Cricetulus griseus: one gene and its partners. The protein of the gene in region 1 purifies or fractionates together with the protein of each later gene. This does not show direct contact. Links are inferred from orthologs where the notes say so. Each region holds a gene or a part of one and is shown on either strand. Other genes may lie near its edges.

Evidence for each region. The genes of interacting proteins can lie anywhere in the genome.
Region 2: the proteins of Otud5 (region 1) and Serbp1 purify together in Homo sapiens (affinity purification with mass spectrometry, with the first as the bait; 3 studies listed by BioGRID). This does not show direct contact. The link is inferred for Cricetulus griseus from reciprocal best matches to the Homo sapiens genes OTUD5 and SERBP1.
Region 3: the proteins of Otud5 (region 1) and Cdk4 purify together in Homo sapiens (affinity purification with mass spectrometry, with the first as the bait; 4 studies listed by BioGRID). This does not show direct contact. The link is inferred for Cricetulus griseus from reciprocal best matches to the Homo sapiens genes OTUD5 and CDK4.
Region 4: the proteins of Otud5 (region 1) and Khdrbs1 purify together in Homo sapiens (affinity purification with mass spectrometry, with the first as the bait; 3 studies listed by BioGRID). This does not show direct contact. The link is inferred for Cricetulus griseus from reciprocal best matches to the Homo sapiens genes OTUD5 and KHDRBS1.

The regions. Positions count from the first base shown.
Region 1 is NC_048604.1:114,305,426-114,309,697, forward strand, and holds the start of Otud5 (OTU domain-containing protein 5), read left to right. Parts: upstream 1-1,472; 5' UTR 1,473-2,246; coding exon 2,247-2,840; intron 2,841-4,272. UniProt on the Homo sapiens protein: Deubiquitinating enzyme that functions as a negative regulator of the innate immune system. Has peptidase activity towards 'Lys-48'- and 'Lys-63'-linked polyubiquitin chains. Can also cleave 'Lys-11'-linked ubiquitin chains (in vitro).
Region 2 is NC_048601.1:75,942,036-75,946,215, reverse strand, and holds the start of Serbp1 (plasminogen activator inhibitor 1 RNA-binding protein), read left to right. Parts: upstream 1-1,380; 5' UTR 1,381-1,489; coding exon 1,490-1,802; intron 1,803-4,180. UniProt on the Homo sapiens protein: Ribosome-binding protein that promotes ribosome hibernation, a process during which ribosomes are stabilized in an inactive state and preserved from proteasomal degradation.
Region 3 is NW_023276806.1:130,641,208-130,645,268, reverse strand, and holds the start of Cdk4 (cyclin-dependent kinase 4), read left to right. Parts: upstream 1-1,261; 5' UTR 1,262-1,419; intron 1,420-1,874; 5' UTR 1,875-1,894; coding exon 1,895-2,112; intron 2,113-2,256; coding exon 2,257-2,392; intron 2,393-2,498; coding exon 2,499-2,666; intron 2,667-2,818; coding exon 2,819-2,928; intron 2,929-3,454; coding exon 3,455-3,505; intron 3,506-3,819; coding exon 3,820-3,955; intron 3,956-4,061.
Region 4 is NC_048595.1:23,279,546-23,283,784, forward strand, and holds the start of Khdrbs1 (KH domain-containing, RNA-binding, signal transduction-associated protein 1), read left to right. Parts: upstream 1-1,439; 5' UTR 1,440-1,589; coding exon 1,590-1,971; intron 1,972-4,239. UniProt on the Homo sapiens protein: Recruited and tyrosine phosphorylated by several receptor systems, for example the T-cell, leptin and insulin receptors. Once phosphorylated, functions as an adapter protein in signal transduction cascades by binding to SH2 and SH3 domain-containing proteins.

The DNA.
Region 1 (4,272 bases):
GTTTCTGGTTTGGGCAATGATGGGATGGGGGTGTTTTTTGCTGTTAAAGGAAATATGAAAGCTATTACTACATAGTTAAGTACTGGGTGAAGGCTAGTCATGAATACTATGAGTTTAGTTAGGTGGGTAGTGCTAAGCAGATATCCTATAGGGAATGGGATATATGGGTCTGAAGAGGAGTCAGTATAATGTTTTCCAGCATGTGGCAGAAATCCTTGAACACAGAAGTCCCAGCAGATACTTAGTTGTCTCCTCCTGGGAAGTCTCAGGAACATAAAATATCAGTAGGACCCATATGTATCCATGTGTTACTGATGCCTTTCAGGAAAAAGCTTCTGTTAAGGTTAGCATCTGAAGCGAGGAGGTTAGGTGGTCTTTCTGTTTCCCCCCAAATATCTTTTTTTGTTGTTTGTTTTTCGAGACAGGGTTTCTCTGTGGCTTTGGAGACTGTCTTGGAACTAGCTGTTGTAGACCAGGCTGGTCTCGAAGTCACAGAGATCCATCTGCCTCTGCCTCCCGAGTGCTGGGATTAAAGGTGTGCACCACCAACTCCAGGCCCCCAAAATATTTTTTGTTGGAGACAGAGTCAACATGTAGTCCTGGCTAGCCTTGAACTCTCTTTAAAATTATTCTATATGTACAGGGTTTTGTCTACATGTATGTATTTTCATTACAAGCATGCCTAGAGCTGGATGAGGCCAAAAGAGTTTGTCATATCCTTGGGACCAGAGATACAGATAGTTGTGAACCACCACGTGGGTGCTAGAAAGTGAACCTGGGTCCTCTGGAAGAGCAAATGCTGTTAACCACCGAGCTGTCTCTCCAGACCCTGGCTTTGAGCTCTTGATTGTCCTGCCTTAGCCTCCAGAGCAATGATAACCCCATTTCTTTTGAGACAGGGTTTCTCTGTGTATCTCTAGCTGTTCTGGCACTAGCTCTTGTAGACCAGGCTGGCCTCGAACTCAAGAGATCCACCTGCCTCTGCCTCCTGAGCGCTTGGATTAAAGGCGTGCGCCACTACTGCCCGACTTGGCATTAATTTCTAACACACAGAAATTAGATCCTAGCACTAGGGAGGCAGAGGCAGGTGGATCTCTGTGAGTTCCAGACTAGCCTGGTCTACAAGAGCTTTTGCCAACACTACTGGAAGACGCTAGGTACTGACAGTGTTGGTTCGTAAACATTTTCTTTCCTGAGTAAATTAAGGGATGGGGGCGGCGGTTGTGGAGGTGGCGAGAAAGGCTGTACTGCGCCTGCGCAATAGCTATAGGCTTGAGAGGTCAACGTGAGGGTAAGAGGGCGGAGGTGACAGAATAGGCGTGTCTTTCCGCCAAACAAGTAGGCAAATGTTGCAGTTCTGTCTAGCGGTTGGCCCTTCTGAGGTGACGGACTGCATTGTTAAGCCAATCACGTCAAGATTACGTTTGTTGCCAGGGTGAAGCAGGGTCCGCCTTTTCGGGCTTGCTGATTGGTGGAACCGGAAGTGACGACGCCTCACAGGATGATACGCTCTGGGAATGTTGATGTTTTCCTGTGAGTCTGACTGAGTTCCAGATGGAATCCTTGAGGAGACGACTTGTTGTGTTCGTGAGGCCAACCACTCTGTTTCTTCAAAGTACGGATACGTGCGGGCTGGAACCTTGGGGAAAGAAAGGAACAGGACGGAACCAAAGTTTTTCTGCTGGGAACACGGCTGCAGACTTTGAAATTTGAGAGGGAGGACACGAGAGAGCGAGCGCTTATCCCTGATTGGTTCTTGGGTGTTGTCAAGGCTTTACGCAGGTTCTTCAATTGGTTGGTATTCGCAATTGTCACCGCCGCGACAATTTTTTGCCCACGTACTTCCGAACAAGAGGCAGGGCTGTGTTCTGTTACGCCTGCGCACGGCCTGGGCGGCCCCACCCGGTAGTTCAAGAACCTGTGAAGGGGCGGGGCGAAGAGGTACTTGTTTTGGTTGTGTTTCCTTTGAAGCTGAATCCCGGAACAAGGTAGCAATAAGCTTGGCTGGACTTGGAGAAAAGGCTACGACAAATTCGTCTTTGTACCATCCTATTGGACTTCACATCCGGGATCTCCTCCGGGCGTGACCTGCGTACTGCCTACCGTTCTCGAACCGGTGTCCTGATCCCTTTATACAGGCCTTGCTGTTCCCATCGTGCTTCGCGCACAACAGTAGCCCCCTCATCCGGGTTCTCTCCCGGCGTTCTCAGCGTTTCGTTTGCTGTGGGGTACTTGCCCGTGCCGCCATGACTATTCTCCCCAAAAAGAAGCCGCCACCTCCCGATGCCGACCCGGCCAACGAACCGTCGCCGCCCGGGCCGCTGCCCCCAGCGCCTCGGCGCGGTGGGGGTGTGGGTGTGGGCGGCGGCGGCACGGGAGTGGGTGGAGGAGAGCGCGACCGAGACTCCGGCGTCGTGGGGGCCCGTCCCAGGGCTTCACCACCACCTCAGGGCCCGCTCCCGGGGCCGCCTGGTGCTCTTCATCGTTGGGCACTAGCCGTGCCGCCTGGCGCAGTGGCGGGCCCTCGGCCACAGCAGGCTTCTCCACCTCCTTGTGGGGGCCCTGGTGGCCCCGGCGGCGGTCCTGGTGACGCTCTTGGTGCGGCAACTGCGGGGGTGGGCGCGGCAGGGGTGGTGGTGGGCGTGGGTGGTGCCGTGGGCGTTGGCGGCTGCTGCTCGGGGCCGGGGCACAGCAAGCGGCGGCGTCAAGCTCCCGGCGTTGGCGCAGTTGGCGGGGGCAGTCCGGAGCGTGAAGAGGTCGGAGCAGGCTACAACAGTGAAGACGAATATGAAGCTGCGGCAGCACGAATCGAAGCCATGGATCCTGCCACTGTAGAGCAGGTAAGGGCTGCAAGGTGAGGAGCTGGCAGATAACAGCACGTGAGTCCACCAGACTCAGAAGGGATCCAAGGAAGTGTTGTTTCAGAGTGGTCCAAGAAACCTAGGTCTTGTTGCTGGGCCTGACATTCTTCTCTGGTGATGAAGGTATGATGAAACCTCATTTCCCCCAGGGACTTGGTGTTAGGGGTCCTAAGTATGCTAACATACTTCAAGATGAGATCTGGGAGCTCTTTTGCAGTCCATAGTTGTCAGTCCTGGTCTTGGGGTCTCATCTGCATGACTGTTGGTGAGAAGTCTCCAGGAGTCACAGGTAGGTTTGGATTCCTTCTTGAGAGGAGGATCTCATGTCTCACTAAGGGACTTCGGTTCAGTGACTTAAGAGCTCTTTTTCTTTAGGACAAGTTAGATTTCCTCTCCAGAGAACTCAGAAAAGGCAGTGTCCTCAGAGATAGGGTCTAGGCGTACCCAAGAAACCTAAACCTGACATTCTTCATGTAGGAAGGACCCTCTTTTCCTTTGCAGAGTTGACAGGTCTGTTCACCAGCCATGCCTGGGACCTCCTCAGGAGTCCTAAGCATCAATTCAAGGACCTAGACCTCCTTGGAGAATTTAGGGCTTAGAGTAAACCGACATAACGGTAGATAGTGATTTCCAAAGCATCCCTCCAGTGATGTGAAACTTCTTTCTGGGAAATAAACTTCTCTAACCCTTGGAGACAAAGGCCAAAACCAATACCTAGGACCAGAAACTGCCTGTCTCATATCCTTTCTGAGTGACATTGGTTTGTGTTTTCTATCAGTGGACTGAGACCTGCATCCTTGGAGACAAGGGTCCTCAGTTTCTTCTCATTGATAGGCTCTTTGCCTCCACCCCTACCATTCAACTGAGGACCTGAACCTTTCTTCAAATGAATGAGATTAAGAACTTTGGATCACAGTCGATGTTGGTGTAAAGACCTCTTTGCTTATGGACTGGAGTTTTACAGACTGGGCCCGTGGCCTCTTCAGGAGTATGGCACTTAAAGATGTCCCAGGCTGGAAGTGTTCTTCAGGACACACTTTTATTCATAGACCAGTGTCTATGCTCTTGGGGGTTCATATATTCCCCTAAGGATATATGTCTTACTGATTGAAATGCACTTCAGGGATTCAACATCCCATTTTTTCTCTTCAGTTCATCTAAAGACTTCTCTGATCCCCCAGGGGCTGAGCTGTTAATCTCACAGGAAAAGAGCTCTCAAGTCACTAAACACAGATTAAGTTCCTTGGGAAAAACCTGAGGCTTCCCTCAGGAAGAGCTCCATCTTTCCTGGAAAAAGAACTCCCACCTATTGACTTTGCAGATGAGGTCCCAGAATCTAGCATGAAATCTATAGACCCTATATAATCCCTGCTTTGGAAATGGGCAGTATGGAGACCCAGAGGTGATGTCA
Region 2 (4,180 bases), on another chromosome or scaffold:
ATAGTTATCAAAATTTCAACACTTGTCTTAACTTCTAGCAAGACGAGATTGGTTTACAGAATTGATGTGGGCAGTCTAGGTGCCACTACCATTTAACATAAGTGAGAACTTGGTAAGTCATATCACTTCTGACATGATTTCATCGCTTGTGAAAAGGGGACAATTGTTTTCCTAAAAAGATGTGAGGGTCAAGCATTCCTAGCACCTGCTACTTGAGAGATACACTTTCTAGTACACTCTGTGTCAACGGGAATGGTTTAAAAACTATACTATGTATTGGCACTGGATTGTCTTAATGTCAATGTTTTCAAGTCTTTACTAATTACCTAAATTAATTTTCCTTCCTTCATACATAATACTCAATGTAGTATACAATATTTCTTCTTGAGCACATCTTTTTTTGGGGGGGGTGGGGGGCTTCAAGACAGGGTTTCACTGTGTAGCCCCTGCTTTCCCTGAACTTGCTCTGTAGACCAGACTGCCCTCGATTCGCCTCCGGAATGCTGGGATTCAAGGCATGCGCCACCACCTCATGGTTCTTGAGCACATTTTTACCAACACTACAGCCTCAAAAGCCTTGGGTGGCCAGATAATGATGGATCAGTTAATCCGATTGATTCTAGAAAGCGTTTCCAAACACTGCCTTTTGGAGGCTTGCCTGGCGTCCAGTGCTGCAGTCAGGAGTTAACAGCTCTGAAAGCATGGTCGCAATGACCGGAAAAGGCGCGCAACCCAGACAGTCAACTCGTCTTTTTGATTCGTTCTGCCACCCAATGTCTCGGTGCGAGCAACCCCGGAATCCCGTTCCACTTTGAACCGAAGTGCCTCGATTCGCTGCGAAGGGTGGAGGGCAGCTCCAGAAACCCACCCGCTAGGGATGTGCAGCCGAGCGGCCACAATCTGCAGCCTACCGGAGGTTAAGTGTGGCACCTCACCCCCACCCCCACCCCCGGAAGTTTTTGAGGCTTCAGTTACTAGGTCTGGGAGTCACCTTGACCCTCTCAGAAAGGTGGAGAAAGTCCTCGGCCGGAGACGGGGTGGGCGAAACCACAAAGACAGAACACTTTCGTGAGCCGAAGACAACCTCACGTTTCCCTGGTTTTCAGGGGGTAGCTAAAGACCGAGAGTTTAAGGGTGACAAGAGCAGGTGGCCGAACTCCGCCCAGCACACGCTTCTCCACCTTCGGCGAGCACGCTTCACTCTCTCCGGGAGATCCCGCCTCTGAGGCGCGCGCGAAGAGGTGCTGCGCGGCGCACGCTGGGAGTTGTGGTTCAGGAGTGGGCCGCTGCTTCAGGATGATCCGCTGTGGCCTACATACCCCATGGTGCTGTGCGGCGCAGGCCACTCCCGGATGTGTGCCTGGCGCCGGAAGAGAAGGCGGCCCCCCTTTCTCGGCCCGGCCATCTTGTGGGAAGAGCTGAAGCAGGCGCTTTTGGCTCGGCGCGGTCCGCTGCAATCCGTGGAGGAACGCGCCGCCGAGCCACCATCATGCCCGGGCACCTACAGGAAGGGTTCGGCTGCGTGGTCACCAACCGATTCGACCAGCTATTTGACGACGAATCGGACCCTTTCGAGGTACTGAAGGCAGCAGAGAACAAGAAAAAAGAAGCCGGCGGGGGCGGCGTTGGTGGCCCTGGGGCCAAGAGCGCCGCTCAGGCCGCGGCCCAGACCAACTCCAACGCGGCGGGCAAACAGTTGCGTAAAGAGTCCCAGAAAGATCGCAAGAACCCGCTGCCCCCCAGCGTCGGCGTGGCTGACAAAAAGGAGGAGACGCAGCCGCCGGTGGCGCTTAAGAAAGAAGGTAAAGCCGGGCGAGGCGGTGGGGAGCCCCGGGCTGGCGGGCAGGACGGGGGCGTGCGCGGCCGCTCGCTGGTGCAGCCGGAGGGGGCGCGGCGTGCGCGGAGCCCCGCACGGTGCGCGAGCGTGGCTGGCACCGAGTCCACGCCGCTCGCAGGCTCGGCGGGAGCCTTCCCGCCTCGGGCTGACTGAGCGTGCTCCGAGAGGGCGGCCCGGGCGTTCCCGCCGATTCGGGCCGGGTGTTGGGCGCCGCCTGGCTCTCGGTGCCCGGGAGCAGCGAGCGGGCACGTTTCCTGCCCGGCGTGCTCAAATGTGTGCCGCTGCCCGCCCTGGGCTCCTGCCCTGCCATCTTGTCCCACAATGGCGCGGACCCTCGAGGAAAGGCCGGGGCTCGGAGTTTCCACCTGGGCTGCGGTCTGTTCGGGGCCACTGTTTAGAGAGTGGAGGAAGGGGCTGTTTGGGTCCCGCATGTGCAACAAAAAAAGTTGCACCCTTTTGCTCCTGTGTTCAACTTAACTGTAACTTAGTGGCGGGGATGAAGCTGTTGGAAAGGGGAGGAATTCGGAGCCCCCACTCGTTTTCGAGGGAGTTTCTGAATGGAGACTGGTTATCAGCAGAACCTTTCTCATGTCGCGAGCCCTTCTTCAATACCTTGAAGCCCCCCCCCCCCCCCCCAGGTGGATTGGGCTTTTCCTGTTTTGGGCTTCATGGGTCGAATGAGTGCCCAGCCTGTCACGTCCCCGGCAGCAGAGTTCTTTGGAGTCTGCAGCCTTTCCTCCGCACGTGCGTGAAGCATGGTCAGGTCCTCATTGGCGGTTAGTAGACTTCCAGGGCGCTGGAAGTTTCCTAGTTGTTTTTTGATTTTAGCATTCTAAAATACTGGCTTATTGTGGGTGAAAAAGCAAAGCAATTAAGGGTTAAGAAGGTTTAAAGTCAATAGTAGGTCGGTTTAGAATCTAAACTGTGAGTCTTTAAAGTTACCATTATATGTAAAGTTGCCTCTTAGTGCCACGTGCTCATGAAAGGAATTGTTTGGGTTTTGGTTTAAGGTATCTTTTTGGGGGGGTGTCTTTTTTTGTATGGCTTGGAGTAAACATCCAGTACCTAGTTGACTGAATAAAAGATTTCTCGTGCTAAAAATGATAGATTTGGAAGGGCAGCATAGTCTGGATTGTTAGAAAACATCATTTGGGCAAAAGTACTCAGCACATTAAGCTTGACATCGTACAGTCGAATAAGGCATTTAATTCTTGTGTAAAGGAACTCTGGTTGGTGTATTTTAAACTGTTTACCTCTTTGATGACACTAATTAAAGAAAATACATGAATAAGTTGTCTAAAACATACGATGTAGATGCACTCACTCATTAAATGTTCAAATCATGAAGCTTAATTTAAATTACTCAGTTTTCACCAGGAATCCTATCTATGATCTTACCTGGAAAGTAACATTGTAAGTCATAAGTGTGGGCAATTTTATTTACAGCCCGGATTCTTTGTCATTTACTTAAGTCATTAGGAAAACTTTTTCACATTGCTTATCGACATTTTCCCTTAGTATTTCAGAAATCTTTTTTTGTTGGTATCGGGGATTGAACTCAGGACCCTTAAATCACTCTAAAACCAGAGTTGCTTAAAACAAAGTTATACATAAGGAGAAATTTGGAATAAAAATGTCAGTTGTCCTCTGTATTGGATGGTACCTCTAAGAAAGGAAAGAATTGTTCATTTATGGTGTGTCCTGTGTCTCGATAACACAATACTGGAATGTAATGGTGTCCTTACATCACTTTTGTAACTTTTGTCTATTTGAAGAACTTGAGAGTTGGTAAAATGTTAAGTGTAGACTAGGTTTTTGGATTAAACAAACACCTGAATTCTACTGCAGTTGGCAATTCAAGTATAGGTAAGTACATGAAAAGAAGCTTATGCTTTAAAAAGTATCAACCATTTTTCATTAGATGAGTTTACTTTTTGTGGTGGGTGATATTGGTAGAGCCCAGCATTTTGCCCACTAGGCTTAAGTATAAAGTAGCACTCACTGAGCAACATTCCCAGCCCCATGATGAGTTTATTAAGTTTTTTTTTCTTGTTATGTAGGACTCATTGAGTATTGGGTGGGGAAGCAAGCCATTGTTCCTTGGGTGTGTTTAGCTTGGTTATCATTACAAGGACTGAACTGGTTCCATAGCTCCACCCTAACACACTGTACCTCTGATGAAATTTATGTAAATGTGTTGGCATAAGGTCTACATTTAGGGCTTGTCCTGAGAATTTACAAAGAATGAGATTTAAGTATTAAAGAGTTTTGTCTTTATGACTAGTTAGAGGTATCTTAATAATTGGTATATCCTGATGATCTTCCATTTCCTTAAACTAAGTC
Region 3 (4,061 bases), on another chromosome or scaffold:
CACAACACAACGAATGCCAAATCTACCTGTCTACCTAGATTTCTGTGGGCACAGACCACTTGGGAAATGCCCATAAGGGCAAGAGTAGCTCTAAGAAAGCTGCATTAGAAATAAAAAGGAATGTGACACCAATGATGAGTTGCATGTTTGCAGAGGGACACAAGACGTTCTCGGGCAACATGGTGGTCTGAAGTGGTGTTGGTGACCGCCCTTGTACACGCTCACCGTTTTGTCTGTTCATATGCACAATTACATACATATGTAACACAATACAGAATCTTAGTGTTAAGAGCCTTTTAAGATCAGGCACCCTGTTGGGCCGTAGTGGTGCACGCCTTTAATCTCAGAATCCCAGCACTTGGGAGACAGAGGCAGGCAGATCTGTGTAAGTTCGAGGTCAGCCTGGTCTACAGAGAGAAACCCTGTCTCGAAAAAAAACAAAACAACAGAGTTTCCAATAACTCCTTGCTGCTTTTAATATTCCCAGGGAGGTTTGCAAGTTGGAAGAGGGGAGGGCATTACGTTGCCACTCTTCCCATACAGTGACTGAGTATATTAATCCTGCTGTCCATCTTTTAGCCCTAGTTTCCTTCTTGGATAGGAATCGTACTCCCTGTTTCATAAGGGGCCACACTTGCCTACATTAGATACCCTCATCATTACTTCAGAGGGCGAATGGCTGAGACACCAAAACAAAAACATCACATACCAACTGGAAAGGAGCCCTTAGTAAAATTTTTGTTGAATGAATGAGTAAAACGAAGGCACAGTATACGAATGCTCCTTCCCCATGGCGCTGGAGTGAAAAATGTGACAGTCCCATCTCTGGTACCAGGATCTCCCACTAGCACCCGGACCTCCCCGCCCACGTCCAGACAAGGAGTGAGACGGAGAGATGCGCACAGGCTCGGCCTTGAGCCCAGAGTTGAGAGCCGGCTGGCCCGGTTGCCATGGCACCGCCTGGTGCTCCACCCTCCCTCGCCCCCACACACCCCCTCGGCAGTCAGGGACTGGCGGCGGGTCACGTGGTAGGCGGCGTAGCCACGCCTCTGCTTCCCAGCGCAGAGCTGAGGGGTCACGTGGGATAGCAACAGGTCACGTGCCCGAGCGAGTTTCGCCCCCCCCATCCCAGGTCATCCACTGCGCATGCATGGATGGATGGATGGATGGATGGAGACCACGTGTCCGCCGCGAACGTCCGGCGTTCGCCCCCCCCCCCCGGTTTCCGCGCGCCTCCCTGGCTGCTGGTCACATGGGGAGGGTGGGGGTGAGGGGGGCCTCTCTAGCTCGCGGCCCGTGTCTATGGTCTGGCCCGTAGCGTCCAGCTGCCCGGGACCGATCCCCGGTGTATGGCGCCGCAGGAACCGGCTCCCGGGCCCAGATAAAGGGCCACCTCCGCAGCTCTTGGCCGGGCGAGAGGTGAGTGCAGCCGCTTGCAGGGATGGGGCCCGGCGCCCCGCCACCACCCTATGGATCCCCTCGTTGTGGAAGGATGGCCCAAGGGCGGGAAGCGGGGCCTTTGTGGTCGCGGCCAGCGTGTGATTTTAGGGAATAAAGTGTGCAACCTTCGATGCCAACGCCGTGCATTGTGATGGTCTTCTTTGTGCCCGGTGCGATGTCCCGTTCTCCCCCCTCCTCCTCCCCGGGAGGAATGCATTCTTTTTCGCCCCTCCGGGACATCACGTGGCTGGAGGGCTCGGTGGGAGAGTCTTTTGTGTTACCTGAGGCGCGGCACTCTGGCAGCGTGGAGGGAGGGGATGGGCGGCTGTGTCGGTGCGGTCGTGGGCAGGAATTCCTTTGTTACTGCTGGGTCATCCCCCCTCCTAGCTGTGAAGGAAAGGAGGGCTTGGTTTTAGAAGCCTCTGTGATTGTAGGAGATCTCCCTGCTCCGAGAATGGCTACCTCCCGCTATGAACCGGTGGCTGAAATCGGTGTTGGTGCCTATGGGACGGTATACAAGGCCCGAGATCCCCACAGTGGCCACTTTGTGGCCCTCAAGAGTGTGCGAGTTCCCAACGGAGGGGGAGCTGGAGGGGGCCTTCCCATCAGCACTGTACGCGAGGTGGCCTTACTGAGGCGGTTGGAGGCCTTCGAGCACCCCAATGTTGTACGGTGAGGAGGTTGGATTGGGAGTGGGGAGGAAAGAATGGGATCTGTAAGCCAGGGGTGTGGTCGTCGGGAGTGGGACCCTAGGACTCCAGAGGCCACGTTGGAACAAAGGACATTGACCGGCTGGCGACTGTTTATTTTTGTCAGGCTAATGGATGTCTGTGCTACCTCCCGAACTGATCGAGACATCAAGGTCACTCTCGTGTTTGAGCATATAGATCAGGATCTGAGGACATACCTGGATAAAGCACCCCCACCAGGCTTGCCAGTTGAGACCATCAAGGTGAGCGGGCTGCTCGGTGAGAGGTGGATCCGGGTCTTTGTAGTAGGGACTCTTGGGGTTTTTGAGCGTGTTACATGGTGTCCGGGGCTTTCTCCTTCAAAACCAGGACCTGATGCGACAGTTTCTAAGCGGCCTGGATTTTCTTCATGCAAATTGCATTGTTCACCGAGACCTGAAACCGGAGAACATTCTGGTGACTAGTAATGGGACAGTCAAGCTGGCTGACTTTGGCCTGGCCAGAATCTACAGCTACCAGATGGCCCTCACACCTGTGGTGAGTGGAAAGATGGCAGCCCCAATGGGATTCGGCTTTAGGTAGTACTTGATTTCCCGTAGCAGCTGAGGTGTGTTGTGCTTGACGTTCTCAAAGCCCAGCAGCTATGAGCCATGAAAAGGACTCTCACTCGTTTCTCCTCTTCTGTTTAGGTTGTTACACTCTGGTACCGTGCTCCTGAAGTTCTTCTGCAGTCTACATACGCAACACCCGTGGACATGTGGAGCGTTGGCTGTATCTTTGCAGAGATGTTTCGTCGAAAGTACGGGGCTTGAAACTTTTGTTTTTTAAGACAGGGTAGCCCTGGCTGTCCTGTGACTCCCTCGGAGATCCGCCTGCCGCCACCACCTGGCTCAGGGTGTGGAACTCTTAGGTCCCTTCAGTTACACAAATCTTTTGATGTTACTTATGGTGTTAGAGGTTGAAATCAGAACTGCACATACACTGGGCAAATGCTCTATACCACTAAACTACACTCCCCGCCCCTGGGTCTTTTTACAAGACATACCCGTTCTTGACCATTTTTGTGCATATGGCACTGGACGCCCCAACCTAGGCTCTTGTATTTATCAGGCGCGTGCCCTGCCACCCAGCTATAGTCCCAACCTATCCTGTTTATGTTCACCAACTTGCCTAAAACCAGAAACGATGCAGGCAAATTTCCTGAAATGTCTAGGAATTAGGAACTTTGTGTTCCCTTATTCTCCGTCCTCTCTAATCTCAGCCACTTTGATTATCATTCCCTTATTTCTGAAATAATATATACTTGGAATATTTTTCTACCTTAGGCCTCTCTTCTGTGGAAACTCTGAAGCTGACCAGTTGGGCAAAATCTTTGAGTAAGTGTCCAATAAAGGGGAAAGAAATCCCCCCCCCCCTTTTTGTTTGTTTTTTTCGAGGCAGGGTTTCTCTGTGGCTTTGGAGGCTGTCCTGGAACTAGCTCTTGTAGACCAGGCTGGTCTACAAGATCTCAAACTCACAGAGATCCGCCTGCCTCTGCCTCCCAAGTGCTGGGATTAAAGGCATGAGTCACCACCGCCCGGCTAAAATTCCCCATTCTTAATTCAGTTTCTGCTCAATTCCAAATGGCAGTTGGCCCTGGAGATGGAAACTGGAAAAAGCCCCCCTGACCAGATTTGTGTTATCCCTACAGTCTCATTGGATTGCCCCCAGAAGATGACTGGCCTCGAGAGGTATCTCTTCCCCGAGGAGCCTTTTCCCCCAGAGGGCCGCGGCCTGTGCAGTCGGTGGTACCGGAGATGGAGGAATCTGGAGCACAGCTGCTGCTGGTAGTGGGCATGGGCCAGGGAGGTGGCTCTGTGATAAAGCTTTTAGGGCATAAGTGTAAGGACCTGAGTTTGAATCCCCAGAACTCGAGTAAAAGCTATGTGTCAG
Region 4 (4,239 bases), on another chromosome or scaffold:
ATCTGGGCTCCATCTACACATAGCATTCCAGGATGAGGGGACTACCTTAGAGACTATTCATCCTGGTCTTTAAAGCAGTATTGAGTAACTGTCTTATGGTGATTTATTCTGTTATTCCAGAATTCTGAAGATTAAAGAAAAATAAGTAAAAAGTTTCTGTTCTTTTACGAATGTAGTACGATCTGTTGTGAAGGAACCAACAAAGGCAGGACCAGCATTCATACCAGCAGTAGGAGCACAAGAGAACTATACAGCCAACACGGATTAAGGACTGGGCCTGTGGTCACCTTTTTACAGAATAAAACAGAAGGCAACAAAATGTATAAGCTAAAGGGCCTCAGTCTCACCATTGCTAGGACCACAGGTGTGCCATCTCCCTAATCTATCTAAAATGTTTCTTGGTTTGTTTTGGGGGACTAAGCGTCCATTAGATACCCTAAGTCGCCAGGAGCTCCTAATGGAGATCAGACTTGTCTCAAACTTTCGTTAAGTCTCCTGAGTTTCTCCCTCCTCAGCGCAGGTGTACACTACAATGGTGCATCTTAATCCGCCCTCCTCCATGGGGGGGGGGGGAAGACACATTGAATGCCACTGAGTGTAGAGGTCAGAGGACAACTTGTGAGAGCCGGTTTTCTCCTCCCACCATTTAGGGCCTGGGGATAGAACTCAGGAGACAAGCAGAGTTACCTGCTGATCCGACCCCAGATGCGTCTTTCCACAAGAATTCTCTCGCCAATTTTGAGCCTGCTATAATGGAAAGCTTAGTATCCGACTTCTTGGATGCCCTGTTTGGGTCTGGAGCCCCTTTCTCCCGGCCTTTGCGTCTCTGATCGACCCTTCTGAGTTGCACACTGGCAATAAGTGGCTTTTAGTCTTCTATCTCTCCCTCCAGGCTTCCCTTTCCACACCCAACGCTTACTCCTCGGGTCAGCCTCTCCCAGCGCTCCCAGCGTCCCATCCCGTTGGGGCAGTCTTTCCCTCTCTTCCGGCCTCACACTGCTCTAACCCTCCTCTTCCCCTCTCCGGGTCCCCAGAAGCGTTCTTTCCATTTCCTGGCTGGAGGGACGGCACCAGATGCTCCTCAGAAGCACATCTCTCTAGGGACCTTGCGAGGCTCGGCCGTTGGAGGAGGCGTGGCCCTCGAATAAGTCCTCCGCTGCCCCACTCTCGGCGGGCCCGCGCGCAGACAAAGACATTCCAGAGCCCCCGCCCCCTCCGCCTGAGTGGGGGGGGGAGACACGTGAACCGCTAGCACCGAGTCACGTGGAAAACAAAAAAAAAGAAACGAACGAAGGAGGCTGGCGCCCGCGCAGGCGCGATAGACCCGAAGCCCGAGCGGGGAGACGACGTCTTTAGTCGGCGCAGGCGCCGTGGCCAGACTGGGGACTTTGTTCTCCGCGGAGAAACTCAAGGGCGGTGCCGGTAGACGTCTGCGCACGCGCGCCGCCTCATTTCCGGTGCTCTCTCGCTGGGTCGCTCGGGTCGGCTTCGGTCGCTGTCGCTCCCGCTCTTCCACCCCCGCCAACCGCCGCTCGGGCCTCGGCTGCCGCCGCGTCGCTTCCTCGCTCGCTCGCCACACATCCTCCCCGATGCAGCGCCGGGACGACCCTGCCGCGCGCCTGACTCGGTCCTCGGGCCGCAGCGGCTCCATGGACCCCTCAGGTGTCCACCCCTCGGTGCGTCAGACCCCGACTCGGCCGTCACCGCTGCCTCACCGGTCCCGGGGAGGCGGAGGTGGGCCCAGAGGGGGCGTCCGGGCCTCGCCCGCCACGCAGCCGCCGCCGCTGCTGCCTCCCTCGGCCACGGGTCCCGACGCGACTGTGGTCGGATCGGCGCCGACCCCGCTGCTGCCCCCGTCAGCCACAGCCGCGGCCAAGATGGAGCCGGAGAATAAGTACCTGCCCGAACTCATGGCTGAGAAGGACTCCCTCGACCCGTCTTTCACTCACGCCATGCAGCTGTTGTCCGTAGGTAAGCGGGTCTTGGCGCACCCTCGGCTTTCCCGGTCCTGGCGGTGGGTGGCCGCCGCTTTGTTCCTCTTGCTCCCGCCCCCTCGGAGCCCGGGCATCGGGAGTTCCCTTCTCGACCCTGGCCTTCAAGATCCTGGACCCACAAGTCCCACCCCTGCTCAGGGTGTGAGGGGAGATTTCTGAGCCTCGGAGGAGTCTCCGTGCGTGCGCGCAGAGCTTGATGGATAGTACTGTGCTCCCGCCCCCCTTCCCGACCCTGTCTCCTCCTCTAGTAGTTGCCCCGCGCGCCGACGACCAGATCTTTCCAGAAATGAACCTTCTTTGCCCCGCTTTCCCAAAGGGGGGAGGGGAATTTGCCTTTTGATCGCGCGTGGTGGAGAGCGCCTTGACCCGGGGTGTAGGGAGGAAAGACGGTCGGAACCGGGAGGGAGGCAGGGCCGGGATGCCGGGCCGGCGCCGGCGCCGTCACCGTCTACCGAGCCGTGCGGGATTTAGCGGGAACTCGGATTTAAGTTACTCAGAGGCTGGAGCGACGAGAGAACCGGAGCTTGAGATTTTTCTCGAGTTCAGTTTTCCACATCGGCCTGTCGAATAAGAATTGCTGCAGACCCGGACGGTTTTTCTCCTTTATTTTAAAATGTGTCTTGACAATCACGCAGAAGTAGAGCGAGTAACTAAGGAGACTCTGGGAAGAAATGATAAAGGGAGGTAAGGGACTGCAGGTTCTTTATCGTGAGATGAACGAGAGAAATTGGTCTTGTTTTAGTTTGGGCTTGAGAAGAGATAGTTTAGGAAAGGTAGCCTTTGTTCTTTGCTTGCAGACGGCGAGCTCTCTTGACTTCATGACTTAGTTTTCTTATTCAGACCATCTGCTTGACCCTCATTTATAGTTAAGGCATGGTTTTTAATAAGTATTTCTTACGACATCTAAATATTATTTAGCATATAAAACCCTTAGTCCGTCTCACTAAATGAGTAGTTGGACTCTGGCCAAAATGATACCGTGGACAGTTCATTGTGAAAATACCATTATCTGATGGAGAGAGATGGAACAGCGGTTAAGAGCACTTTCTGCTCTTCCACAGGGGTTCGGTTCCCAGCACCCACATCACGTGGCTCACAAACACTTGTAAAATTAGCACCAGGGGAGGGGGATCAGATACTCTTTTTGAACTACAGGCACTCAGGTACGAATCTGAAGTGAAATAAAGGGAAAATACCATTTTCCTCCATTTGTTCTCTGTTTCCTAGGATTGGTGAAGGGACTTTACTATTTTTGCAATAAAAAAGAAGATTTAAGGATGTGATTTTCTTTACAGACAGGTATGAAAACAGCAATTAAGGGTTTTGTTTTGTTTTGTTTTGGTTTTGGTTTTTCAAGACAGGGTTTCTCTGTGGCTTTGGAGGCTGTCCTGGAACTAGCTCTTGTAGACCAGGCTGGTCTCGAACTCACAGAGATCCACCTGCCTCTGCCTCCCGAGTGCTGGGATTAAAGGCGTGCGCCACCAACGTCTGGCTAAATTAAGGGTCTTACAAGTGCAGTAAAACAAAAAGCTGGGTCAGTAAATACAAACGTTTAGATCAGTTGGTTGCATTTCAACTTAGTGCCCCTATTCTGCTCTTTGTTGGTTTTTCCAGATAAGGTTTCTCTGTGTTTTCCTGGCTGGCCTGGAACTTGCTGTGTACACCAAGCTGACCTCAAACTCACAGAGATTGGCTTGCCTCTGCCTCCCAAATGCTGGGATTAAAGATGTGTGTCACCACTGCCTGGCTAGGTTCTTATGTTTCATGACAAGTTACTTACTGGTAAGAATTTTCTTTTTTTTTTCTTTTTTAAGGTCTCAAGTAACTGAGACTGGTTGGCGCTCACTTTCTAACCAAGGATGATTTGAACTTATGTTCCTTCTGCCTCTATTTCCAGAGTTTGGGAGGTATGAAGTGCCTAGGATAAAACTCAGAACTTTATGCACGATAGGCACTCTACACATTCAGGCCATCTTTCATTTTATTTATTTATTTATTTTCATACTGGCTTGCAAATAACAAACACCAGTGTTTGGTTGACTGAGAACAAGTGCCTGCAAGAAAATCACTATGATTAAGGTCGACTTAGTATTCTTATTTTTAGTTCCTCAAATCTTTATAACCTGACAGGTTAATTGCTGGAGAATTAAGTGGTTTTAAGAAGTTAACTTTGGAAACTGATCCTTAACTAGCTAATCTTGAGAAATTTACTCAAATGCTGGGTTTGAGGACTAAGTTATATGTA